Linked DNA regions of Rattus norvegicus. The protein of the gene in region 3 binds, or shares a complex with, the protein of the main gene of each other region. Links are inferred from orthologs where the notes say so. Each region holds a gene or a part of one and is shown on either strand. Other genes may lie near its edges.

Region 1 (4,138 bases), on a different chromosome or scaffold from region 3:
CAGAGTACTTGCGCTCAGGAGGAGCAATGATCTGAAGAAAGCAAGACAGTGATTGTGAGCATTCTGGATGCTGGGTTGTTCCTTAAGCCAAGAGAGTTGGCTACAACTACAGGGCTGACCACACCCCACTATGGGTCCAGGCTAAGGCTGCTTACCTTGATCTTCATGGTGCTAGGAGCCAGGGCAGTAATCTCCTTCTGCATCCTGTCAGCAATGCCTGGGTACATGGTGGTGCCACCAGACAGCACTGTGTTGGCATAGAGGTCTTTACGGATGTCAACGTCACACTTCATGATGGAATTGAATGTAGTTTCATGGATGCCACAGGATTCCATACCTGAAAGGAAAAGCAAGAGAGATCAGACTTACAGTGTGGCCTCCAGCATTGGTCACCTTTAGATGGAGAAGGGATGAGACTACAACTTACCCAGGAAGGAAGGCTGGAAGAGAGCCTCGGGGCATCGGAACCGCTCATTGCCGATAGTGATGACCTGACCGTCAGGCAGCTCATAGCTCTTCTCCAGGGAGGAAGAGGATGCGGCAGTGGCCATCTCTTGCTCGAAGTCTAGGGCAACATAGCACAGCTTCTCTTTAATGTCACGCACGATTTCCCTCTCAGCTGTGGTGGTGAAGCTGTAGCCACGCTCGGTCAGGATCTTCATGAGGTAGTCTGTCAGGTCCCGGCCAGCCAGGTCCAGACGCAGGATGGCATGAGGGAGCGCGTAACCCTCATAGATGGGCACAGTGTGGGTGACCCCGTCTCCGGAGTCCATCACAATGCCAGTGGTACGACCAGAGGCATACAGGGACAACACAGCCTGGATGGCTACGTACATGGCTGGGGTGTTGAAGGTCTCAAACATGATCTGTAGAGAAAGGAATACAGTATTGTCAAGCTCCTAAAGCCACAAGAAACACTCAGGGCAGGTGAGACTGTAAGGATAGATTTGAGTGAGACATGCAAAGAGGGCAAGAACACAGCTAAGTTAAGTGTGCTGGGAGTATCAGGACAGGGGCTCCATTTAGACCTACTGTGCATCTACTGAATACACACTCCAAGGCCATTTATCACCAGCCTCATTAGCTTTGTCACACGAGCCATTGTTAGTACCTACACCCACAGCACTGTAGGGGTTTAAAACACCTAGTCAGAAAGGCGATCGAGAGAAAAAAAAGACCTCATCTGGGAAAGAGCAGAAACTGCAAAGTTCCAAGGGAGACTCAGCTCATAGAAGAGAGTCCTATGGGAGAATGGCAGAAGAAAGACAATTGAGAAAGGGCGTGGCTGAGAAGTTGGCCCAATAGAGGGGAGGGGTCACCCAGGATACTGACCTGGGTCATCTTTTCACGGTTGGCCTTAGGGTTCAGAGGGGCCTCGGTGAGCAGCACAGGGTGCTCCTCAGGGGCCACACGCAGCTCATTGTAGAAAGTGTGGTGCCAAATCTTCTCCATATCGTCCCAGTTGGTGACAATGCCGTGTTCAATGGGGTACTTCAGGGTCAGGATGCCTCTCTTGCTCTGGGCCTCGTCGCCCACGTAGGAGTCCTTCTGACCCATACCCACCATCACACCCTGCGGAGGAGAACAACGTTCTCAGCACTGGCATCGACCCCCAAGAAAACCCTAGGGCTGCCACTCCCAAAGTAAAGGGTCACTTACCTGGTGCCTAGGGCGGCCCACGATGGAGGGGAAGACGGCCCGGGGAGCATCGTCGCCCGCGAAGCCGGCCTTGCACATGCCGGAGCCGTTGTCGACGACGAGCGCAGCGATATCGTCATCCATGGCGAACTATCAAGGCACAAAAGAGGGCTATGGTCACCGCGGAGCCGCCAAGAGCAGCCGCTGCCGCCCTGCCCACTTCCGGCAAGCCGCGGCCTCGAGCCGCCAGGGGGCGCGCGCCCAAGCTCAGGGGACAAAGGAAGCGCAGGACAGCCGCATTATTACCATAAAAGGCAAACGCTGGCCCGGAGGCGGACCCACGGCAGGAAGCCAGGCCTCCGCCCCCTCCCCAAACGGGCACAGGCCCCGCCTACACTGAGGCGACGGGCGGCTAGTGCGCGCGCGGGAGGCGACCACACCCAGCAGGAAGCGCGAGCAGGCGCCCTAGCCGCTACGACCCCGCCCCTTCCGGGCAACGGCCCCGCCCTCGCCCAACCCGGGGCGGCCGCGCTCCTAGTCTCAATACGCACGCGCAACTCTTAACTCGGAAGAGGGGGAGAGGAAGAGTTCCCTCCCCAGCGCGCACGCGCCCCAATGCCCAGTGATAGAGCGCGCACGCGCAATGGCATCCCAGCCCCCACCCGGCCGAGCCGGCCCCGCCGCGCCCGCCAAGCCGAATGGGCAAAACCGGTTTGGACAAAGACCCATAGGCCATCAAAGCGTGATTGTAACGCCTGACTCCCAATACTGTGTCCCCTCAAGGTGGACAGATGCGGCTTAACACCCGCAAGCCGCACCGGCTCTCCAAATGCCCACACCGCGACTCTAGTGTGTCCCCAAGCCCCGCGCACCAAGCAGGAGCGTGCCCACGAGTGTCTACACCGCGGGAATACGACTGCAAACACTCTACACCCTAGGCGGAAAGTTAAGCTTTGCCAGTGTCCGCTCCGCGGCCCGGTACCACGCTCCACCCCTCTACGGTGTCCCTTCTGAGTGTTCCTCACGATCCTGCAGCGAGGTAGTGGCCAAGGTAAAGTTGGGGCCCGCTGGGCCCGACGTCCCTGCTTACCTGGTGGCGGGTGTGGACCGGCGACGGAGGAGCTGCAAGAAGGTTGTACTCGCGGGTGGACGCGGACTCGACAGTGGCTGCGCGTTGCGCCGCCGGGTTTTATAGGACGCCACAGCGGCCACTCGAGCCATAAAAGGCAACTTTCGGAACGGCGGGCGCTGATTGGCTCCGCGTCGCTCACTCACCGGCCTCGCCGCACAGTGCAGCATTTTTTTACCCCCTCTCCCCTCCTTTTGCAAAAAAAAAAAAAAAAAAAAAAAAAGAAGAAAAAAAAGCGAGCGAGAGAGAAAGCGAGATTGAGGAAGAGGATGAAGAGTTTGGCGATGGGTGCTGGTTCCGTAGGCCCAGATGGACAAGAATAGCCCCCGCCCTTGTGGACACTATCCCATTCAGTGACTCGGTTACTAGGCCTGTATTCTGGGGGTCACCCACCCACCCCAGGACCCTCTGGGTGTGGATGTCACGGGAATAATGATCACCTAAGTGGGCGAGGGTCAGCTTGAAGGCCCGGACCCTATTTGAGTGGCCTTTTGTTTGAGGGACACACGGGGTCTGGATTGAATGGGCAGAGAGTCACTCCCCCTTGCTAGCAATAGTCAGGAAAGCCAGATCTGGGGGCCTTCTGCTGCAGTTCTAATTTGCTAGGTGTGTTGGGGTACAACTTGGAAGCAGAGCTGTGGTTGGGAAGGTCTTCAGGGATCTTGACCACTCAAGGCCAGAGTCCCAAGGATAGGGCAAGCCCCGGTGGTCCAGTGACTGGAGGTGTTTGTTGCAGGAAGATGCCTCCAGATATCCTCTGCCCCGGACCTAGAAAGGAACTGTGCTCAATCGAACAAGCAAAACTTCTCATGGAGTCCGGCACTTTTGGAGGGCTGCCTGATCACACCCAGGCAAGACTAAGCCTGGGCCGTTAGCTAGTGGCTCTGGGTGACTGCCAGGCATCGTTGGGCTGGAGCCCACCATCTAGCCTCTATGTATTATGTGCAGCCACAGCTGAACTGTACACTGAACTGTTCATCTGCTGGCCACGGGGACTCTGGGAGTGACAAACTACTCAGGGAAGTGCTGGTGGTCACCAGAGCCCCAAATCCTCCAGAGAGAAGAACCCCCTGCTCTCCTCACCTAAGTAGGAGAGTTCTGCTCAGGAAGCTAGCCATTTGGCTGATAGCTACAGCAGGGGATCAGAGTTGAGGGTCGGGTCCCTCAGCTTAGCTTAGAAGGACGCACAACTCCTGGGAGAGAGTGACAGAAAGCTATATTTAGGCAAGGAGAATGCTTCAGGTGGGATGCTCTGGACCTGCCATGGCTTTACACATGCATAGTAGGTGTGCACTGGCTCACAAAGTGTAGGTGTTGAAACCAAGGAAGGCTTCATCCATATATGGGCTACAGTGGCTGTGCATGAGGAGG
Region 2 (4,031 bases), on a different chromosome or scaffold from region 3:
TCTGTTTGTTGTTTGTTTTGTGTTGAGACAGGGTTTCTCTGTGTAGCCTCGGCTGTCCTGGAACAGCTCTGTAAACCAGGCTGGCCTCGAACTCACAGAGATCCTCCTACCTCCCAAACGCTAGGATTAAAGGTATGAGCTGCCAGCACCCTGCACTCTGGGTGTTAACCTTTAGATCGGAGCTTGCCTTGAGGGCCACACAACTAAAGAAATTTGGGTGGTAGTCTGGTGTGGTGGTTCCACCTCTAATTCCAGCGCATAGGAGATGGAGCAGCTGTTTTCCATCACACAGTGAGTTTAACGCTAGACCAGGCTATTCGAGACCCTACATACTTGATCAGGTAAAAACACTGATCCACCTGGAAAAGAACAAATTCAGGAATCCTCTGTTCCCTAGGCAGTGGACCAGCAAAGTAATCTAAAGCAACAGATATCCGGGTCTCTTTGGAGAAGATTCAAGGTAAAAGAATTCATTAAAATCTGAAGTTAAAGGTCTGAGGTGAAGGGCTAAGTTCCCGTGCCGGGGAGCTGTTAAGCCATTATTTATTTATTTATTTATTTATTTATTTATTTTTTTTTTTTTTTTTTGGAGCTGGGGACCGAACCCAGGGCCTTGCGCTTCCTAGGCAAGCGCTCTACCACTGAGCTAAATCCCCAACCCCTTAAGCCATTATTTATAAGATGAGGCCCTGGCTACCAGCCAGGAGACCCGAATCCAGGATGGCTTTTCTCTTATCTCGATTTGTCTTTGCCACGACATTCACCTCCTTTGAGTTCAGCTTTTCCGTTTGTAAAACGAACAAACAGCCTGTTTCCCTCTTTAGCATCCGGAGTCTGATCCGTAGGAAAACAAAAAGCAAACCAACCAGAATGCTTTGGAGAGGTAAACGCACTGGGCCGAGGTGAAGCATCACTCCAGCCGCCTGCGGGGTGGGCTGGGCTCTTTGCAAGGCCTTGACGTCCTCCAACCGCCCGGGGGCGCTCGCTCCCGGCACTTCTTTATCAGCACACCGCCTCTCTATGGTGCTCCCTCCTGGCCCGTGAAGGCGGGAGGGAGTGGTCAGCACGCCTTTCCCGCTAGTCGCCCCCTCTAGCCCGTAGTCTCGCTGCCCCGAGCCGCCCGTGCCCGCCGGCGGGCCGGGCCCACAAACAGCCCAGGCGCTCGGGGGGCGCGCGGGGGGCGGGGGGAGTTCCGGTTCCGGTTCTTTGTGCAGCTGCAGCGGCGGCTCCGGGAAGATGGCGGCCCGGGCGGGTTTCCAGTCCGTGGCTCCGAGCGGCGGCGCGGGAGCCTCAGGAGGAGCGGGCGTGGCGGCTGCTCTGGGCCCGGGCGGAACTCCCGGGCCTCCCGTGCGAATGGGCCCGGCGCCGGGTCAAGGGCTGTACCGCTCTCCGATGCCCGGGGCGGCCTATCCGGTGAGTGGGACAGGAGGAGGGGCGCGCGGGCCGGGGGCGGGGCCGAGCGAGGGCGGAGGACTGACAGGGGTGAGGGAGAAGTGGGAGGGACTCCCTAGGGAGGGGCTCGGGCCGGGAGTGGAGGTGGGGGAAACTGAGCGGAGGAAGAGTGGGGGGAAGGAGGTTAGCATCCTTACCTGCTCCCAGCGGCATTGTTTCCGTGTGAGGAGCGAGTGTGGAACCAGGGTGGGTGAAGTGGGCCCTGGGATGGGCATGGGATGCAGAGGGGAATGGGCAGCCCCAGTGTCTCCAGGAACACCCAAGCTATTGCAGCAAATTGAGGTCAGCCTTAGAGGAGACAGCAGCTAGTTTAAAAAAAGAAAAAAGTAGGACTAGAAATGTCTGATGAGTCAGATCCAGCATAGATCAGAAAATTCAAGTATAATCTAGTTTTTAGACTATATTCCATTAAATCACTAGTAGGCCTGAAGAAGCTCCAGTTACCATATTTCAAAGAAGCAAAGGATTGTCTTGTCCTCCACTCTACCCACCCCCCAGCCCTACCCCATCCCTGAAATCCAGCCTTCCACCACTTTTCCTTCCTTGGTGGGGCTAGCATGGAAAAATATGACATCTCTTGGTCCTCTCCCTTCTGTAGAGACCAGGTATGCTGCCAGGCAGCCGAATGACACCTCAGGGACCTTCCATGGGACCTCCTGGCTATGGGGGGAACCCTTCAGTCCGACCTGGCCTGGCCCAGTCAGGGATGGACCAATCCCGCAAGAGACCTGCACCTCAACAGATCCAGCAGGTCCAGCAGCAGGCGGTCCAAAATCGAAATCACAAGTAAGATGCCCCCTGGGGTGAAGGAAAGACGGGGATGGGAGGAGGCCTGTGAGGATGCTGATGCTGGGAGTCCCCAGGAAGTCAGGCGCTGCAGTATCAAATGGTGCTGCAGGGACTCACCCTTTTGAAGGCTCTCTGGCCTCGTGATGAAGTGGAGTTTTTGTGGTACTGGGAGATGGAGAGTCATCCCGTAGGCCGTAGTAGCTGTACCATAAATGGAGGTGCTCACAGCGATGCTCATGTTTTGACTAGTTCCTATCCCAACCTGATAACAGTATTTATTCTGAACAGTGCAAAGAAAAAGAAGATGGCTGACAAAATCCTACCTCAGAGGGTGAGTGCAGCAGCTGTAGAGGCCTTCCTGAAGGGGTAGTGGCTTTGAGAATAGAGGTGGTCAGCTCTAGGGCCTGACCCTATCTTTCTGTTCCTAAGATTCGGGAATTGGTACCGGAATCACAGGCCTACATGGATCTCCTGGCTTTTGAAAGGAAACTGGACCAGACTATTATGAGGAAACGCCTGGATATCCAGGAGGCCTTGAAGCGGCCCATCAAGGTACCAGGAGAGTACCAGAGGGTCACAGGAGGGAGCCAGGACGCTCCACCAAGCTTAGGAAGAAAACCCAAAGGCACAGCACATCTCTCTTTGGCATTTAAACTGCATCTTTCCCTTCTGCCTGCAAACCAGGAATTACATCAGGAGCATAGGAGTGGGGCGGCTGGCAAGGAGAGGGGGGGCTTCCCACTCTCTTCAGCAGAAACACACCCTGTCCTTGTTTTTGCTCCTCGCTACCTTGGGAACCTGCCACTTTGCACGACTTTGTCTCCCTGGCACCCTGGCACATTTACTCAGGCCCAAGTCAGGGCCTGTTTGCTCCTCAGTGGAGTCCTTATCCATCTACAAAGCCAGCCTGGTAGGAGTGACCTGGGAGCTTTAGGGAACCTTGTGCTCTTGAAGCCCCACGGTCAATCCTGTTTCTGCCTTCCTCAGCAAAAACGGAAGCTGCGGATTTTCATTTCTAACACATTCAATCCGGCTAAGTCGGATGCCGAGGACGGGGAAGGGACTGTGGCTTCCTGGGAGCTCCGGGTAGAAGGACGGCTCCTGGAGGATGTGAGTTCAGGGTCCATGGTGGTTGGTGCTCAGGGTGGGAGCTGTTGGGAAGGAGCAGTGCTGTGTGGTCAGCAGGAAACCTGACTGGTGTTCACCACTCCTGCTGGGAGCTTCCGGAAGGGGGTTGGGGGTGCTGTGTTCCCTGCCTACAAAGACAATGGTCCTTTGTGCCTACTCTCACAGCTTCTCTGGTATCAAGTGGAAACCTTTGTTGCTCTGGGGTCTGGGTTGTTGTTTACTTTGCCTGGTGATGCTGCCCTTCGGATTTCAGTGCTCACTTATCCCCACCACCATCTGTGCTTAGTGTTTGAGCCCATGTTTCCTCCCTTAGGTCCTTGAGGTTATTTCTGTCTTCCCAGGTTTCATTGGAGGCACCACAGTTTAAGTACGATAGCCCCCCCAAAGGCTTGGCTCTTTGTTGCTCATCAGACTAATGAGCACCCCAGACTCTCCACCCAGCAGCTCATTGGGGAGGCTCGCCGTTCCCTCAGAGCTCTGCACTCTGACACTTTTAAACTGTGTGCAAGTGAGCTCGTCTGATGCACTTTTGCTGGGGAACCGAGCTGCCTCTGGGTAGGTCCAGGCTATTTGCTGGTCATGTGTTCTGTCCAGAGAAAGGCAGGTTTTGTTCCCCTGCCTCTGGCCTGGGATTCATTTGCCCTCTGCTGTCAGGCTTTCCT
Region 3 (4,206 bases):
CAGAGATCGCACAGGCGGAGGAGCAGGCCCGCAAAAGGCAGGAGGAGAGGGAGAAGGAGGCAGCCGAGCAAGCTGAGCGCAGCCAGGGCAGCATCGCCCCCGAGGAAGAGCAAGTGGCGAACAAAGCCGAGGAGAAGAAGGATGAGGAGAACATCCCGATGGAGACAGGTAACCGCCTCCCCAACCCAGGAAGTGTGAGGGCCCTGACAGCCGGCATTCTGCCATTCCCTGTCTCTCTCAGAGCAGCATGGTGGCATCAGTCTTGCCGTGTGAGCTCTTGGTAGTACTCAAGTGGGGGTGGCTCTGGAGACGGGCGTGCAGGGCCCTGTCTGTTTGCCCATTGCTGACACTGACTTTGCTGAGCTTTCTCTCATCTCCTCATTTGAACAGCTACTTGCTGCTGGATTTGACATAGGATTAATAGGCAATAATACTTTAACCTTTATGGCTACTATTTACATAAGATGTGTCATGGGCCCGAGATTTGTCTTAGTCCTTAGATGGCAAAGTTTGACTAGAAGATGGCCAGACTCACTTGTTGTGAGTCACACTACATGTGACAGCTTTGAGGTGACATGAGAGAGTGTGTGTGTGTGTGTGTGTGCGTGTGGGTGTGGGTGTGCGTGTGTGTGGGTGTAGTTTGGGACTTGAAACAGACTTCCTGGCCAACAGCCTTTAGTGATGACCGTCTAAGCCTTACATGTTGGTGCCAACCGACCTCAGCCTACTGTGCTTTTTTTTTTTTTAAGATGTATTTATTGTATTCATATGAGTACACTGTAGCTGTCTTAGACACACCAGAAGAGGGCATCAGATCCCATTACAGATGGTTGTGAGCCACCATGTGGTTGCTGGGAATTGAACTCAGGTCCTCTGGAAGAGCAGTCAGGGTTCTCAACCACTGGGCCGTCTCTCCAGCCGGAACAATGCTTTTTGATGTTTTGGTTTTCCTGAATAAAGGCATTCCTCATGGTTTGGATTTTTTTTTTTTTTTTTTAAAGAAAAGAAAGGTAAAACTTAGATCAAATACTGATGAACTTGGTTGTTCTTGAAGTTTTCGAGATCACCTTGCCTCTCAGCACGATTGACCCTGCCTAGTGGATAAACAGGAGTAAGCCAAAAGTAGTCAGGGGACACTAGCACTTGCTGGGAAAAGGGACATGGGCATACTCTGTACTCAACAGTAATTCCTGGCAGTGTTTAAGGAAACGTCAGTATCTCTGCCAGGCATTTACACAGTATTTAACTCAGTGGGTTTCCTTTCCAGACAGGCTGGTTTTAGTCTTCATTGTCTGGGCCTCTTTCTGGTTTTGTGAACCCGGTTTTGGTTTTTGGTTTTGTTTTGTTATTTTTTTACCATAAATTGGGCGAACCAGAGTGTGGTTCTTTGCTCATCTTGCAACCAAACCATGTCTTCAGTCTTGAGTCTGTTTTGCCCCAAATGAGGTTTGTCTCCCTCTGACGGCGTCTGGGTGTCTGGGATGTTTACTGAGATGTCTGTCTGCTAGCTTAAGGAAAGAAAACGGAGGGAGAACTGAAGGGAAAAAATTAAAGATATTAGAACCTTGTGTTCAGTTTCCTAAAGGAAGTGGCCAGCACCACTTTAAACAGAGCATCTGCTTCTTTCTGTGCCTTCATTTTGTGTATTTCAGGCAGGATCTTGCTCTACTGTGTTGTCTAGGCTGGCCTCAGACTCCGGAGTGCAATCTTCTGGTGCCACCACCTCTGGCTTCTGGCTTCCTTTTAATGTTACATTTAAACCAAGTCTCCAAAAAAATATTTACATGTTATAAGATTTTAAAAATTAATACTCTAGGCTAGACAGAAAGCTTAGTAGACGGACCTGAGCGCATATGGGAAAAGCAGGTTACATCCTCAGGATCCAGTACAGGAGCTAGAGATCAGCAGATTCCTAGGGCTCATTGCCTGCCAACCTGGCCTACCTGGTTACTCCCAGGTCAGTGAGAGATCCTAAAGTGGACAGTTCTTGAGGAACAGAACACTTGTGGTTCTCCTCTGACATGCGCACACATACAAGACTCTCGCTGTCTTACATTCTTTTATTGTATCAAATCTTTGAAATCTAGCATGTATTTTATATACTTCTTTTTTATTTATTTTTATTTTATTTACATTAGTGACTTGACTTCATGTATGTCTGTGTGAGGGTATCAATCCAGATCCCCTGGAACAGGAGTTACAGATAGTTGTGAGCTGCCATATGGGTGCTGGAAACTGAACCCCAGGTCCTCTATGGAAGAGCACCCAGTGCTTTTAACCTTTGAACCGTCTCTCCAGCCCCTCTCCCAAAAGCTCAATTCTCACCACAAAAGTGTTTGATATGTATTTAAATTTCTTAATACTGTAGGTAAAAATGTAGATTTTCGCACCCTGAGTTGTCTCAGATATTCATGAATATTCCTGAGTCACAAGACTGGCTCATTTCACTGCTTGCCACGTGTGCCTAGTGGCGGTCAGACTGGACAGGTCATTTAATGCCGTCAGCAGAGTTAGAGTGAACGGAACTGATGGTGCAAATGTGTGGTTACAGAGGAGACACACCTTGAAGACACTGCGGAGAACCAGCAGAATGGTGAAGAAGGCACATCTACTCCTGAGGACAAGGAGAGTGGGCAGGAGGGGGTTGACAGCATGGAGGTGGAAGGGACCAGTGACAGTAACACCGGCTCAGAGAGCAACAGCGCAACGGTGGAGGAGCCGCCCACGGACCCTGTGCCAGAAGACGAGAAGAAGGAATAAATGTTGCCTTGTTTTATGTGACCTAAAACTTTTTTTAAATGAAAAAAAAAATGTGTTTTTTTTGGTTTTAATGGTGTTATGTGGTCTGTGTATTATTTCCATTGATACCGTGAAGGTCTTCAATAGCATAGCCTAATGCCATCTGCTCACCTTTCTTAGCTCTCAACTTCTGAAACCTCAGAACTGAGATCAGTCGAGAGACCCATCTCTTTGAGAACCACTTGGATGCTGCAGAATCTGCTCTTCCAAATGCCTTCCTTCAGCTCACTTGGGTGCTCATCAAAGCCATAGCTTTAACCCCTCCCAGACCAACTACAGCTCTCCGAGTCCCCTGTCGTGTGTATTTATACAGAGTGCCCTCTTTATCTCTGATATCAGACACCAGGCATCCTCTTACAGGGTAGGGTGTAGCCTGAAACCAGCGAAACACAGATGAGACTGTGCAGAGATGGCCCTGGAGGGGCCGGGGGAGTAGTTACTGCTGTGGATTCTCATTAGGTGAGCCCTGCACGTGCATATCCATATCTGTGCAGTTATTATGGGATGTGTTCTGGGAAATTCATCCTTATTGTACAGGGGGAAAAGAAATGTGTTTTTACCAGATTGGTTTTCCAAAGACATGATAGACAGCAGAGCCTAAGGAATGGGATATTCTTATAATGGACTGCAGACTTCAAAGTGATTGGCCTATTGCAAAAGGAAAACAGGAACTACGTTCATCCACTTGAGCATACTTCATAGTGATGAAAACCTCAAGGCTCGAGATCCCATAGATCAGAGCCGAACCTACTTTTTTGATAAGCCCTTTAGTGGTGTTAGAGACTAGATATGAGATAGTTTGTAGTGCGTGCTCTCTGATATCTAGAATAGATTTTTACTGAATAGTGGTATATATGATGTTATATGTTTCTTAAAGGCCCAAACATAATAAAGAAATTAAGACAAAGGTCTCAGTGTTTTTATTGCACTGTAAAAAATCGACATAATTTGGTCCCTATGATACCAGGACATCATGGAATGACCCACAATCATGAAATGTCTGTCACTCATAGGAAGCTTGCCTCACGAACTGTCAGTATTAACAGGACTGTGAAGGAATCTGTTTGGTGTGGCTAACGAGTGAATATAGCCTGTGCTCATGGGGGAACCGTACCTGCACTCCCCACTTAGTGACTTACACAGCAACAAGCAATTTCCTGAGAGGAAGCTTGATGTGTGGGGTCATCCTTAGGCCAGTTTTTCCGTGGTTCTGCCCTTCCTTGAAAATCAAACAATTTTTTTTTTCAAGACAGGATTTCTCAGTGTAGCCCTGACTATCCTGGCAAAAAAACTTATCTGTGAACAGGTCTGTTTGGGGTTTTGAGCATGGAGAGCTAAAAATTCAAAAAATGTCTCATCTTAAATAAATTGGATAACCACAGATAAAATCCTCTGGAAGGTGAGATG
Region 4 (3,500 bases), on a different chromosome or scaffold from region 3:
CACACACACACACACACACACACTCACACACCCATACATACTATACCTATGGCACACACACACTCACACACCCATTCATACTATACCTATGGCACGCACACACTCACACACACATACTCTCTCTCTCTCACACACACACACCCATACATACTACACCTATGGCACACACACTCACACACATACACCCATACATACTACACCTATGGCACACACACTCACACTCACACCCATACATACTGAGGAACTGATACTGTTTGGTTATCAGGCACTGTTTTTAGCTCTTGCTTTCTCTGTACCACGTCCCCCTTGTCCACCTCACAAGAATGTGAGAAAAATATATATAATAAAATGTAGAGGCACATTATATTGTTTTGATTGCTTGTGTGTAAGCAAAGCCCGTGATTTTGCACACTGACAGGAATATAAGCATCTCTAAAGCGAATGCTGTACTCATTAGTGACGCACCAAGCTTCTCCGGCTCATCGGGCCCGGTGCCTGCAATGCAGCTGCTCTCCAGGCCGTAGGTAGGATCCACCTTCCCAGAGGCTCTTGCAGCTTCCTGTACTTTCTTGACATGCGCTTCCACCAATTCCAGGGGTACTTCTTCTCGGACACGAGAAAACTCCTCTGAGTCAAGATCACAAAGACAATATCTTAATTTTGCATAGATATTTGATCCTAGTGTGACAAAGTAACATCAGTTTATACAGTGAGCACACTAGGGAAAATATAAAATGAATCAATCCAATCACTTCCCTAGGTTATTATCCAAAACATAATAGTGCCTTCTTTATTATACTTTGAAAAGTTGTTTAAAAATCTATTAGAAACAAGTAAAATTTCAGTCCTGATTTCACCACTCTGCTGGCAAGACTGGTAACTATAAAAACAGCAAGGATCAAACAACCTTAAAAATGTAAATCCTACAATATAAAAGATGCCTGGGTGAAATTAAGTTATTGAAAATAAATTAAGTAGCTTCCATGCTATATCTCTACCAATATCCTAATGTCATAAAACACTTACTTTCCTTTATACACGAGTGTGTATGTACATGTATGTTGGTTGAGACAAGATCCACAATAGTCCACGCTGAACTTTAAACTCCTGATTCTTTTGTCTCTTCCTCTAAAAAGCTGCAATTTCACAGGTTATGCCAAATTATCTAGCTGTTCTTCTAAATCCACAAATATTCTATGGGCCAGCAACATGGCTCAGCCAGAATGGACATTTGTGGCCAGGCTGACAATTCAATTCATGAGGCACACGTAGTAGGACAAAGCTCACCCTTGCACTGCTAATCCTGACCTTCAGAGATATATCATGGTAAGTGATCTTCCCTCTCTCTCTTTCCCTCTCTCCCTCCCTCCATCCCTCTCCCCCTCCCCTCCCTCTCTCACACACACAAAATAGATTTTTAAAAGTGAAAGAAAAACAAAGTCCTTACAAATTATTTTCTACATTTTGATGAAGCACATTATCTTTAGTTTTTGTTGTGTGACTTATAAGAGAGAAATGTGTATTAACACAGCTGATATTCTTAAAAGCATTTGTATGTATGTGTGGGGGTGAGCTTGTGCCTGGGTTTAAGTCTGCTGGTTTAATCCAGTTGACATCAACAAAGATTCTATCAGTTCTCCCTCCACCTTATCTCTGAGTTACTATCCCTGTCAGGATGACTTGTGAGACCATCTATTCTGTCTCCCAGTATAGATGCTATAAGCATATACTAGAGCTTCTAGCTTTTACACAGGCTTTGGAGATCTGACTCAGGCCCTCATGCTTGCACAGCATACACTTTATATAACTGAGGCAAATGTTAAGTTCATGGCTAATCATATTTGAATATAAAGTCAGACTTTAGTGCTGGAGAGGTAGCTTTCACAGGAAGTACATACCCAAAGCTGCTTTGGCTGCAGCTGATGCTACTCGAGGGTCAACCACGGATGCTAAAAAGGCAACAGTACTCATCACGGGGTTTCCTGACTGGCTGAAAGGGACAGGCTGGTAAGCTAGTGGCCCAAGAGAAGCATCTGAATTTTCAAGGTATGGGTCCTCAATGGGAAGCCTCAAAAAGTGGAGGATGCATTCATCCTGAGTACGGCTTCCAACATGTTCCGAGACTTTATTCCAATCATCCTTGTACATCTCCAGAGCCTAAGTGAACACAGAAACAAAAGGGTGATAGCATCAAATAACAAGGAAGGAAAATAGAAGGGAAGAAAAATGAAGCCAGTGCCCTTTTTCCCCCTTCTGTGTGACAGGATCTCACTATGTGATACAGGCTGGTCTTCAACTTCTACTAACCCTGGTTCACAGGCTCAAGAGTGCTAGGCATGCAAACCCAACCTTGCTAAGATTCTGCAGACAGAATTCTAAAAAAATTTGGGTAGTGATCTAGTAGTTATGGTGGCGCATGCCCTTCAACCCCAACTGTCTGTAAACTGAGACAAGATTTGAAGATAACAGAGTGGACAAGATCCTATTTCAAACTAGTAATATAAATAATTATTTCTACATTAAGGTAAAAGGTAATCTGGCAGTGACCCTTATAATAAGTTGTCAATCAGGCAACAAAACAATAATGAAATACCTGAACATTACAATATTCGTTTAAACTGGATCACTACTCTTTACATGAAAACTTTCAAAGAATCTACTCTGAGATGGTGGCTGAAGATTACCACGACAATATCAGATGGGCTAAAAGCGTAAGAGAAAGCAAGAACAATGCTTATATTCCTCTCATAGCAATGAATAACTTTTTTAAAAAAGATTTATTTTATTTTTGAGTTCACTGTAGGTGTCAGACACACAAGAGGAGGACATCAGATCTCATTACAGATGGTTGTGAGCCACCATGTGGTTGCTGGGAATTGAACTCAGGACCTCTGGAAGAGCAGTCAGTGTTCTTAACCACTGAGCCATCTCTCCAGCCCGCAATGAACAATTTTAAAGTGGAAAAATATTTGTAACATTATTAAAATGAAATAAAAATTTGAGTAAATTATGTGTAAGACCAACATGATACAAAGAAAATCAACGTGAGAGAATGAAAAGATGGGCAGAAAGACAGACAGAAAGAAAGGGAGGAAAGAAAGAGACACAAACAATAAAAAGGGGCAAGTGAGAAGGCTGAGAGACGAAGTCACTGTTTAGTAACCCACAAGATGTTAGAAGAGAACAGACTCCAATGTTGCCCTGCCTTCCACATACACATCATCATCTACCCATACAAACACACTAAGGTCTACAAGACAATGGATTTTTAATAAAAATTGAGGCTAGCAGTAAAAGATTGACAGGACAGAATAGAATGAGTCATAAAATTTATTAGAGTTTTGGTAAAAAGTCGTAAAAACCTTCAAAACAAAAACGAAAACCTGAATCTATATGATTAAATACATAAAATAAATAGTAAGAAAATATAACAAATGAAATAACTTGTCAACCTTTTAGGGCTTGCTACTGTTACTTCTCTCTGGTGGCATGATTTCCTG
Region 5 (3,500 bases), on a different chromosome or scaffold from region 3:
AAAAAAGATTAAGAAAAGAAAATCATAAACTGAAATCTTACATCTCTGGAGTCTTGGACTTGTTCTTGCCGTTGAAGAACTCAGGAAGAGCCCTCCGCTCAATGGCATGGACACTGCAGGATAAATCACAATGGTTCACAAGGCCCCAGGGGTGGGTAGTTAGCAGCTCTTGGCTGTGGGGCAACAGGAGAAACAGCCCACTGATCAGCAAGGGGAGGAGGAGGGTGCGTAGGGTAGCACCTGTTGTAGTCAAACCAGGCAGCATAGCTGGGGACGATGATGTGGTGTGTCTGCTCTGTCACGTTGTCCTCGTGCAGGTCCGCGCTCTTGGTCTGCTCCCCTTTGTTGCCGGTGCTGTTCTCGTCCTCATCCTAGAAGTATGGAGGCTGCTGGATACTCAGCATTCCCATCCCCTAGCAACCCTCAGCTCCTCCGGTAGCCAGGAACAGGATGCCACCGAAGCGGGGAGGGAGATGAGGATGGGCACCTAGGCCGGGGGTGGGGAGGCTGGGCAGAAGGAGAGGTGGAGCCCTGTAAACACATCACAGAGACACACAGAGACAGCCTGTCTAAACCAGCTGCACCTTGCCCGTGGTCTCCATGCTTTCGTCGTCCTGTTCATCTGGAAAGGGAAGAAGCCGAGTGTCAGGCAGGAAGGAGCACAGGGTCAGCAAAGGCAGAGGGCTGGGGGAAGGTAGGCTGAGCGCTCCATGCCTCAGGCACTGCCTGCTAAGGTCTCCCTCCCTGTCTCACCCAGGTCAGTCATGGTGCCGCCTTTGACTGGTGCTGACTCGGAGTCCTTTTTAGTGTTGACTGTCGGGAGAAAAAGCCACTGCATTAGACATGTTGGCCAAAATCAAGCTCTCACTTCTCAGCTGTTAATAGTTTCACATATCTTGCTTTCTCAAAAAAACTTTCAAACATGTTTTCTATTTTACTGCCTTATGCAACCAATGGCTTCCTTTAGCTTTCTCATCTGTGTGTGCAGTTCCATGACTCCCCAGCCTCAGCATCCTAAGGGCCATTCTTTTCTGGCTGCTCTGTCCCCTATCTGTTTCCCTGTACAGTCTTCTAATTGAAGGATGAGCTCATACCAGGTAAGTAGTCAGATACCAGCCCTTGGTTACTCCTGGCAACTGAACCCAGGCCTCACGCACATACGTCTAAGTGTCTACCAGAGTCACAGTCCCAGCACCAAGCCTTCTTTTGGGGCTTGGGGGTCTCATGTGTTCCAGGCCTCTTAACTTACGAAGAGCGGCCTGGCTCTCTGCACCTGCTCCTGAGAGCTGCTGAGCTTACAGGTGAGTACCCCACCAAGCCAGGCTCCCAGCACTTTCTTCTGGTCTTCCCTTCCTAAACTCTTTATTTTGGTTTTGCCTTTTTCAAACAGTCTCAAGCTAGAGAGAAGGTTGAGAGGTTAAAAGCACTGGCTGTTCTTCCAGAGGTCCTGAGTTCAATTCACAGCAACCATATGGTGGCTCACAACCATCTGTAAGTGTAGTTTCATGGAATCCAATGCTAACAAATCTTACAGGCAGATAAACATCATTTTACATGAAATACATCCATAACTAAAATTTATTTACTTTTTTTTTTTTTTTTTTTTTGGAGCTGGTGACCGAACCCAGGGCCTTGCGCTTGCTAGGCAAGTGCTCTACCACTGAGCTGAATGCCCACCCCCTTATTTACTTCTTTACTTAGTATCTTTTAAGAAGAAGAGACACAGACTGAAGCAGCCAGCCTGCCGAGGGCCGGGCCAGCAGTCAGACGGCAGGTGTGAGGCAGCACACTTGGCTTTCCTTCTTATTGTGAGTTATGCTACCGGCCTCAGGAGTCATTCTGAAGCCCAGGCAGATTCTGTACTATTTACATCCTCCTGCCTCAGTCATGCAATCACTGAGATTATAGCCTATACTATGACACCAGGCCTACTTAAATGAGTAGATCTTAATTAATAATATTGTTGTTTTGGGTTTTCTTGAGACAAAGTCTCACTATGTAGCAATCAACAGCTGTCTTGAAACTCACTATGTAGACCAGGCTGGCCTTACATTCACAGAGATTCACCTGCCTCTGCTTTCTGGGTACTGGGATTAAAGGTGTTTACCACCATTTCCAGTCAGATCTTAATTAATTAATTGTTGAATACAAGGTCTCTGTATGGAACCTGGCTGTCCTGGAACTTGTGATGTAGACCAGACTAGCCTCTAATAGCTTACAGAGTTCTTCCTGCCTCTGCCTTCTAAGTGCTGGGATTTAAAATCATGTGTCACCATGTCTAGCCTAAATATTTAAAGAAGATTTAAAACTGTCTGAAAGGCTGGGGGACAGAATGCAGGACTCTACACCTGCTAGGCAGTGTTCACTGTAAGCTGCACCCCTAGCCTAATTTTCAATGCTGTAAAGCAGAGGAGACTTTTCTCCCTTAATTTCATACACAATGCTCAGGAGAAAACAGCTTCCCAACCCCACTCACATACATCTCTTGATATGTGAGGCTGGCGGACAGGGGACAGACTACAAACCAGTACTGTAGTGCAGTCCCCTCAAGAGCACTCCTCATACTGGACAGACTCACAGTCAGCAAACAGTGCCTGCCGTCCAGAGGAGATTCTGAGCCTAAAAGAGGGGACCAGATCCAGGTCCTCTGGAGCTAGAGGGCTCTCTGGGGACAGCAAGCACTCTGATTGCTCAGCCACCTCTCCAGACTCCCAGCTCTGTTTAAAATGTCGTCTTAACATTTTTACAGTTTCATTTTCTTTTCCTTTTTTTTTCTTTCTTTTTTGATTCAGGGTTTCTCTGTGCAGTCCTGGTTGTTCTGGGATTTGCTATGTAGACAGGGTGGCCCTGAACTCAGATCTGCCTGCCTCTGCCCACCAAGTGCTGGGTTAAAAGGTGTGTGCTACCACCGTGGTAGATTTTTATTTTTTGATTTTTTTTGAGTTATTTCTCTGTGTGTGAGTGTTTGTCAGAATGTATGCTTGTACACCATCTGCATGCAGTGCCTGCAGAAGCCAAAAGAGGGTGCTGGGTGCAAGGGTCCTGGAATTAGGCGGTTGTGAACCACTGTGTGGAACTGGAAAGCAAACCTGAAAAAGCAGCCATTGCTCCTAACCACTGAGCCAGCAGTCTAGTCCCCACCCCACTCCCTTTTTTAATCATAATGTTTGCATTTTTTAAAGATTTATTTATTTATTTTATGTACATGACTACACTGTAGCTGTCCTCAGACTCACCAGAAGAGGCCATCAGATCCCATGATAGATGGTTGTGAGCCACCATGTGGTTGCTGGGAACTGAACTCAGGGCCTCTGGAAGAGCAATCAGTGCTCTTTTTTTTTTTTTTTTTTTTTTTCGGAGCTGGGGACCGAACCCAGGGCCTTGCGCTTGCTAGGCAAGTGCTCTACCAGCAATCAGTGCTCTTAACCATTGAGCCATCCCTCCAGCCCTTGCATATGTTTTAAAATGGTCCTAAAGTGAGGTTTTGGCAGTATAATTTA
Region 6 (3,500 bases), on a different chromosome or scaffold from region 3:
ACTTTCTGAGTACTCTGTTGCTGCATTTGCTGAAAGGAAAATAGTACAGTTAGAAGTCAGATATAGTTTTATAAAAAGTTTTCCCGCCCCCTAAGACAGACATCAGTCACCTCAAATCACTTACAGAATACTCTTTATAATGATCTGTAATTCTCTGACGTTCCTTTTCTTGTAGAATAACAGAATATTCAGCGTGTTTAGCTGGATATTCTTTTATCATTAAGTCAATCACTTCATCACTGCGCAATGCTGTTAAACCTATTTTAGACCCCCCCCAAAAGAAAGTAAAGAAAATATCTTAAGGCCAAGCGAACACAGTGCTTTTTCAAAACTAGCTTTTTTTTTACTGTCTTACTGTAATCAAAGCAAAATTAATACATTGTAAAATATAAGTTAATTCTTCCCAATAAAGTCAAGCAATCAAAACTAAACGTTATCTTGTAAAACAAAAATTAAATCAAATCAAATGATTTGAGCCTTTCTATTTTATATAAATCGTAAGAATATACTTAGAAATAATTATGAATGGTATATAGTAGCCACTAATAATTAAGACAGGATATGTAAAAAGTATTTCTCAATATATATTTCTAAGTCTCCAAATTTATATATCAGAAATACTATCAATTCACATCTTAAAACATTCGCCAGTCTACACACACCACGTAACTTTTACAGCATCAGTATCAGATTTCCCTACTGCTGTGATGAATTTATACTGGGAAGTGCCCGTTGACATTGATGCACTCACCAAAGATAAATTATCAATAAAGCAGATGCTATAAGGAACTTAAAAGTTTGACAAGATTTGCCAAAAATAAGAATCTATGGGTTCAATCCCCAGTAGTACAGATAAAGCTCTCTACTTAGATATAAATTCTACTCCCAAAACACAAACATTTTGACAACTCTGTTAAAGTTATCAATAGAAAATTATATTGTAGTATAAAAAAATTATATCATGCCTTTACATTTTAACAATTAAAAATAAGTAAACAACTTATTATTTAAATAATTTATTAATTTTGTAAACTATTTTAGGAGATGTGTCATTTATCTAATTATCTACCACCTACAAATGTTCATTTAATAGACAGGATAGGTGCTAGTTACCTAGTGTGCACTGTGTTTCCGTGATGACGTTTAATTCTCTCAGGTACAGTTTCTCCTTGTGAGATAAATCTCGTCGCTCTAAATCTCCAAAAGCAGAACAAAAGGACTGTTAAAAACTAAAACTATTGGGGCTGGGGATTTAGCTCAGTGGCAGAGCGCTTACCTAGGAAGCACAAGGCCCTGGGTTCGGTCCCCAGCTCCAAAAAAAAGAACCAAAAAACAAACAAACAAAAAAAAAAAAACTAAAACTATACATCTTAAAACTTTTAAAAACTTAGGAAAACAACTATTTAAACACATTTGTTGCTAAATTTTCTAAGTATTATTAGGTAACTACACACACACACACACACACACACACACACACACACACACATCTTACAAATTCAAGAAATAAACATCAGAAAACTAAAAACTAGAACAATCCGAAGTTAACCATTTTCTATATTAGGGCAGCTCATCATGAATGGCTTCCGACAATTCAAGCTCGGCTTAGATGCTATCTCTATTTCTGAGGCCACAGAGCAACAGTTTCGATTAAAAACACTGGCTATAAAGTGATTTTTCTTTTCAAACTTATCCTCAAGAAGTCAGTAGGATGTTACACACCTATAATCTTATTCTGTCCCTAAAGAACTTGGTGACATACAGAAGAAGCATGCTACCTCCACAGTAGGATACTGAGTGCTCATCACAAATTAAATCAGCAAGTGCACTTGCTTCATAAGCAGAAGAAAAATAACTCATAACCAAGTCTCTGTGGTAAGTATGATGTCATCCATTAATACACTAAGCCGTAAGTACCTGGATATTTCCGCTTGAAGGAGGTCACACCCAGATATTCACTGACTTGCTCCTGAAGCATGTAGTATTCTCCTGTTTCATCAGGTGGCCATTTGTATTCTATTAAGTTTTCTGCTGGGTAGTAACTGAAGCTAAGATGCAAACACACATTATGCCTTATATGTGGCATTTATTAAACGTCAATCATATTTATATTCCAAATTATTTTCAAAACAATTTTAAGAATTGCAATTCTTTTTATTACTGCTGTAATTATAGAAAAAATTACAAAATGGGTAAAAGGAAGAAATTTAATGATCCAAAATGTCACATAAAAAAGTCCACTAAATTTCTTCACATGCAAACATATACATGGCAGTTTCTGTACATGCAAAGAACCTAAGGCTGGAGAGATCTCAGTGGTTAGGAGCGCTTATGACTGACGCTTGCAGAGGATGAGTATTTGCTTCCCAGCACCACATCAGGCAGCTCACAACCACCATGACTCCAGCTCAGAACCTACTATGATCTTCTGGCCTCGGCGAGCCGCCATACCCACGTGGGCACACACGTAAAGTTAAACCCTACTAGATCTAAGAAAGCAAAGCAAGGAAGCAACACTCAAGTAGTTTTATTTAAAAGTCACTACAATTACGTCATACATCCCAGATATAACAGACAACTTCCGATCCTTATGTATTGCTCAGTAAGTCACACACAACTAGAAAAGCAGACATTCCAAGGACCACTTTGTCAGTGAACTGGACAATAAGCTGTAATTTTATGTCTTTATACTCTACAAACCTGAAGTAAAGAGCAGATCTATTTGGAAGTTGTGTACTGCACCCAACTGCAATCCTCAACAGTAAAGACTGTAATGAACGGGTCAATCTGGATCACGTAACATAAATCAGACGCAGGAGTGGGACAGTGGTTTGTAGCATTTATTCATTTAAAACTAGCTCATCGGGGTTGGGGATTTAGCTCAGTGGTAGAGTGCTTGCCTAGCAAGTGCAAGGCCCTGGGTTCGGTCCTCAGCTCCGGGGGAAAAAAAAAAAAAACTAGCTCATGAAACAGCCAAACCTGGTTGGTGCTAGCAAAGAACAGACACATACAAAGCCACAGAAAGGAACCTCACCTCCCATCACATCGCATGCAAAAAGTAGCTCAGAATGAATCAAAATCCTAAATGTATGTAAGAGCTGCCTAGAAAACTCTAAGTTAAAAACCAACTCTTACACTTAATACCCAAAACAAAAGTTACGGGCATGAAAATTAAAAAAAAAAAAAGTGACACTATCAACTATAGGGAAAAAAGCCAGATAAAGAAATTCCTATGCAGAGTACGTCAAGAAGAGAAATGGACAGCTGGGCATAGCGGTGTAGGCCTTCCGTCCTAGCGCTGTGAGCCAGCCTATCTACATAGTGAGTTCTAGGCTAGCCAGAGGGACATAGGAAGACCCTGTCTCAAAAAACAAAAGCGAAAACGGGCAGGGGTGGAGAAGTGGACAGAGAAGTAAACAGACATTTCTCCAAAAATATAAGTCAAATTGTCAAAATACACCTAAAAAATATTCAACAAACACCACTAGCCAGTGTATACA
Region 7 (3,500 bases), on a different chromosome or scaffold from region 3:
TCCAGAAATACGTAGTGAGTTTCACCTGATCGCCCGCAGTCCGCACAGGAGATGAGGTCCTCAGGACATCCAGTCTTCTTGGAGCCCCCCAGGCAAAAGTCACAGTAGCCATTGGGGATGACAGTGCCATCTGGTGCTTTCTTGGCTGAAAGACAGCAGGCAGCGGTGGGCACAGGACAGGTGAGGCGTGCCAGTCAAAGACTACTGCAGAAGTCGGGGAGGAGGGAGGTGCCCCTACCTGTGTGTTTCCTCTGTGCCTCGGGGACCCAGGCCAATTCTTTGTAAAACTCTGGGGGTAGGGGGACAGAAAGGGGCTCTTACCATAGGCAAGGTCCCATCTGTCCCCAGCCTCAGCCCCAGGGGCGGACCCTTGGCCCAGGCACTGGGAAGTAGCAAGAAAGCTGGGGGAGGGACAAGGAATGCTCACCAGAACCCTAACTCTTAGGATTCTATTTGGGTATGTTTTCTCTATTTGGGTAAAAGTGTGAGGATAGACATAACCTTAGCAAGAACCCATGGCTGCTGCCACCATCGTGTGTTTGCACCCCCCAGGTAAGCTTGCCTAGGCCAACGCTTAGCCCGCAGTTCTGCAACGCCTAATCAGGAGGACATTGTTATAGCACAGAAGGTTCTGGGTCAGGCCTGTGGATTTGTAGAAGCTGTCTTTGAGGGACAGGTGAGCTAGGCCCCCTCCCCCCATGGTTCAGTTGTCATGGCATGGAACAGCCATGAGTGGGTATCAAGGACCCTGGGGACCTTGCCCCTGGACCCTAGCATAGCAGAGGAGACAAGGGAGGTCTAGGAAGAGAGGGGATCATCTACCACCCCACTCCAGGTTCTAATTGAAACAATAAATCAGACCCAGAAATAAACCCGGGAAGGGAGTGAGTGAAAGAGTGAGAGAGACAGAGAGAGAGAGAGAGAGAGAGAGAGAGAGAGAGAGACAGAGAGAGAGAGAGAGAGAGAGAGAGAGAGAGAGAGGGGGTTGGTTGTCATGGCAACCCTAGAGCCAGCATCCCTATGATTGGTGGGGGAGGGAACCGTGAAGATTTTTTCCAGAAATGTCTAACTGTGCCTCCACCTCCCCAGACACTACCAGTCTCCACCGCCCCCGCCCCACCCCTCGCACCTCACCCACCAGCCTTGACCCTCCAACTCACAACTCACGTTTATGGTTGTTTTTCCGGTGGAAAGGCAGGGCGTGGCGCTCAGTGTGCTCCTCCCCCTCCTCCTCAGCCAGGTGGGTGTGGGTGTAGTGGTAGCTAAGCCCTGGCCGGTTCTTATACCTCTTCCCACAGACTGGAGGGGAAGTGAGCAGGTGGTTGTCAGACTCCAGGGCCACCTCCTCCACCCCGGGTCTCCAGGATCACACCCCCCTGCTCTGCCAAGGGCCAAAAGGGAGAGTCCCTGGGTCCCACACCCCCTCTCTCTTTCCCCTCGGCAGAACTCACTATCACAGACGTACGGCTTGTCTCGGTCCTCCAAGGATGCGTTGTCCTGGCGTTTCCGGAGACCTCCAATGCCATACGCCTGTAGGGAGGAGGGTTAGGAGTAAGGAAGCCAGGAAACCAGGGAAAGGCTCATCATTCCTGGGGCTTTTGAGTTTGTCCTTGTCGTTGCTGTCGTTGCTTTAGACAGAGTCTCATGGTGTAGCCCTGCCTGACCTGGAATTCACTCTGTCGATCAGACTGGCCTTAAACATGCAGTGATCCTCCTGCCTCTGGGTTACGGGTATGTGCTACCATGCCTTAGTGGGTTTCTTCATTTAGACTTGAAAATTCAAACTGAAGAAAAAAGTTAAAATTTTCTTAGTACTAGGGGTGTGGCTCAGTGACAGAGCAGGTGTCATGGGAGTATGAGACTCTGGGTGCCATCGCAGAGCCACACAGCAATAATGAAGTCTCCCCATTAAAACCAGGCACATTTTCTAGCTGTGAGCCTTTGAACTTCTCGCAGTACACCTATTAGATAGTTCTTTTTGGTGTTGTTTTGAGACAGAGTCTCTCCACACAGTCCTTGCTGTCCGAGAACTCGCTATACAGATCAGGTTGGCCTTGAACTCACAGAGGTCCTCTTGCCTCAGCCTCTCCAGTGTTGGAATTAAAGGTGTGTTCTAACACTTTTTTACTGCTCATAATGGAGGGTGTGTGTGTATGTGTGTATGTGTGTGTTGTGTGTGTGTATGTTTGATTGTGTGCATGTAGTAAATGTGTATTTGCATATGTGTCTGTATATGTGGTGTATATGCATGGTATATGTGTGTATATGTTCGTATATGCAGGTGCACTTGTGTGTGTGGTGTGCATGTATATGTGTGTTTATGTGTGTATGTGGAGTGTATATTTGTCCATGTGTTTGTATGTGTGTATATCCACATGTGGTTATGCATACGTGTTTGTACGTGTTCGTATGTGTGCATACATGTTTGTGTGTGTGTTTGTGTGTGTGTTGCTGTTGTTGTCTGGGTGGCTGGTTTGGTTTAGGATTTTTTTTTTCTTTTTGCACATGGTCTCTTTATGGAGTTCAGAATAGCCTGGGATTCACTTCTCCCAAACTTGGAGCAATTCTCCTGCCTCAGCCTCCCAGGTACTGGGATTACAAGTGTGGGCTGCCACACCCAGGTCTGCAAGACAGTTCTGATCCACAAGCTCCAATTTTGAAATTGTTATAATCCACTGAGTTTCCATTTCCTCACCCATAAGAATGGGTGCAAAACCCTCTACTCCTTCACATAGCTCTGGGGAGGAGGTGGGAGGGAGAAGCTTCTGGAAGATACCTTTCCTTTGGCCCTGTTCTTCCTCCTGGGAATGTCTTCCTCCAAGTCTTCTACCTCGAGATCATGCGGAAACTCCAGCAACTGCTGTTTCTGGGCCCAGTAGAAGGGAGATTGGGGGGTCAAGAAGGTGGGGGCACTGATGTGCTGCAGGTGGGGTGGGAGAGCAAGTCAGGGAGCCTTCTACAAGCAGAGGTGTTCTGGGAGAATGGGGCTGTAGGGTCCCCAAAGGCCCTGTGGAGCCGGGCATCTCAGAGCAGGAAGGCATAGTGGTGACAGCGCACCTGCAGCCAGGGAGGGGGCTCCTACCTGACAGTCCATAATGGTCTCCTCCTCCTTCAACTCCACTTTCTTCTCTCCAGTCTCAGCGCACAGCAGAGCCTCAAGGACTGGCCCTTCCGGGAGGCCACCCTCCTTCTTCAGAGGTGCCTCACAATCTGGGGACAGTCCACAGGGAAAGGGGTATCAGTTGAAGAGGCTGTGGTCAAAGTGCCCAGGTTGCAGGCAGGTGGGGGTGGGAGCGTGGTCCTTGTAGCAGGGGCAGCCTCTCCCACGCTCAACCAACAATGGACATAAGGATTCAACTCGGGCCCTGGAAAGAATGCCCATACCCTGGGGAGACACAGCCATGCCCTCAGCTCTACTAGATAAAGAAGACAGGGCGAGACCCGCATACACCAGAAACCCTCAGGAACAATAGCAGACCCTCATAAACACCTGCACAGTG

Evidence for each region.
Region 1: Smarce1 (region 3) and Actb share a complex: the UniProt entries of both Homo sapiens proteins name them as parts of the BAF complex. The link is inferred for Rattus norvegicus from reciprocal best matches to the Homo sapiens genes SMARCE1 and ACTB.
Region 2: Smarce1 (region 3) and Smarcd1 share a complex: the UniProt entries of both Homo sapiens proteins name them as parts of the BAF complex. The link is inferred for Rattus norvegicus from reciprocal best matches to the Homo sapiens genes SMARCE1 and SMARCD1.
Region 4: Smarce1 (region 3) and Smarcc1 share a complex: the UniProt entries of both Homo sapiens proteins name them as parts of the BAF complex. The link is inferred for Rattus norvegicus from reciprocal best matches to the Homo sapiens genes SMARCE1 and SMARCC1.
Region 5: Smarce1 (region 3) and Smarcc2 share a complex: the UniProt entries of both Homo sapiens proteins name them as parts of the BAF complex. The link is inferred for Rattus norvegicus from reciprocal best matches to the Homo sapiens genes SMARCE1 and SMARCC2.
Region 6: Smarce1 (region 3) and Phf10 share a complex: the UniProt entries of both Homo sapiens proteins name them as parts of the neural progenitors-specific chromatin remodeling complex. The link is inferred for Rattus norvegicus from reciprocal best matches to the Homo sapiens genes SMARCE1 and PHF10.
Region 7: Smarce1 (region 3) and Dpf1 share a complex: the UniProt entries of both Homo sapiens proteins name them as parts of the neuron-specific chromatin remodeling complex. The link is inferred for Rattus norvegicus from reciprocal best matches to the Homo sapiens genes SMARCE1 and DPF1.

Annotation. Positions count from the first base shown.
Region 1 is NC_086030.1:16,775,326-16,779,463, reverse strand, and holds the start of Actb (actin, cytoplasmic 1), read right to left. Parts: upstream 2,801-4,138; 5' UTR 2,729-2,800; intron 1,789-2,728; 5' UTR 1,783-1,788; coding exon 1,660-1,782; intron 1,573-1,659; coding exon 1,333-1,572; intron 867-1,332; coding exon 428-866; intron 338-427; coding exon 156-337; intron 32-155; coding exon 1-31. UniProt on the Homo sapiens protein: Actin is a highly conserved protein that polymerizes to produce filaments that form cross-linked networks in the cytoplasm of cells.
Region 2 is NC_086025.1:132,707,396-132,711,426, forward strand, and holds the start of Smarcd1 (SWI/SNF-related matrix-associated actin-dependent regulator of chromatin subfamily D member 1), read left to right. Parts: upstream 1-1,231; 5' UTR 1,232-1,236; coding exon 1,237-1,413; intron 1,414-1,463; exon of another isoform or gene 1,464-1,638; intron 1,639-2,050; coding exon 2,051-2,238; intron 2,239-2,529; coding exon 2,530-2,572; intron 2,573-2,670; coding exon 2,671-2,793; intron 2,794-3,228; coding exon 3,229-3,351; intron 3,352-4,031. UniProt on the Homo sapiens protein: Involved in transcriptional activation and repression of select genes by chromatin remodeling (alteration of DNA-nucleosome topology).
Region 3 is NC_086028.1:84,654,968-84,659,173, reverse strand, and holds the end of Smarce1 (SWI/SNF-related matrix-associated actin-dependent regulator of chromatin subfamily E member 1), read left to right. Parts: coding exon 1-168; intron 169-2,551; coding exon 2,552-2,760; 3' UTR 2,761-3,706; downstream 3,707-4,206. UniProt on the Homo sapiens protein: Involved in transcriptional activation and repression of select genes by chromatin remodeling (alteration of DNA-nucleosome topology).
Region 4 is NC_086026.1:119,048,556-119,052,055, reverse strand, and holds part of Smarcc1 (SWI/SNF complex subunit SMARCC1), read right to left. Parts: intron 2,158-3,500; coding exon 1,899-2,157; intron 628-1,898; coding exon 466-627; intron 1-465. UniProt on the Homo sapiens protein: Involved in transcriptional activation and repression of select genes by chromatin remodeling (alteration of DNA-nucleosome topology).
Region 5 is NC_086025.1:1,476,503-1,480,002, reverse strand, and holds part of Smarcc2 (SWI/SNF related, matrix associated, actin dependent regulator of chromatin, subfamily c, member 2), read right to left. Parts: intron 814-3,500; coding exon 754-813; intron 623-753; coding exon 585-622; intron 372-584; coding exon 241-371; intron 114-240; coding exon 42-113; intron 1-41. UniProt on the Homo sapiens protein: Involved in transcriptional activation and repression of select genes by chromatin remodeling (alteration of DNA-nucleosome topology).
Region 6 is NC_086019.1:64,635,259-64,638,758, forward strand, and holds part of Phf10 (PHD finger protein 10), read right to left. Parts: intron 2,049-3,500; coding exon 1,918-2,048; intron 1,198-1,917; coding exon 1,114-1,197; intron 259-1,113; coding exon 125-258; intron 30-124; coding exon 1-29. UniProt on the Homo sapiens protein: Involved in transcription activity regulation by chromatin remodeling. Belongs to the neural progenitors-specific chromatin remodeling complex (npBAF complex) and is required for the proliferation of neural progenitors.
Region 7 is NC_086019.1:93,736,842-93,740,341, reverse strand, and holds part of Dpf1 (zinc finger protein neuro-d4), read right to left. Parts: intron 3,211-3,500; coding exon 3,083-3,210; intron 2,921-3,082; coding exon of another isoform or gene 2,867-2,920; coding exon 2,777-2,866; intron 1,531-2,776; coding exon 1,452-1,530; intron 1,300-1,451; coding exon 1,168-1,299; intron 290-1,167; coding exon 239-289; intron 146-238; coding exon 26-145; intron 1-25. UniProt on the Homo sapiens protein: May have an important role in developing neurons by participating in regulation of cell survival, possibly as a neurospecific transcription factor. Belongs to the neuron-specific chromatin remodeling complex (nBAF complex).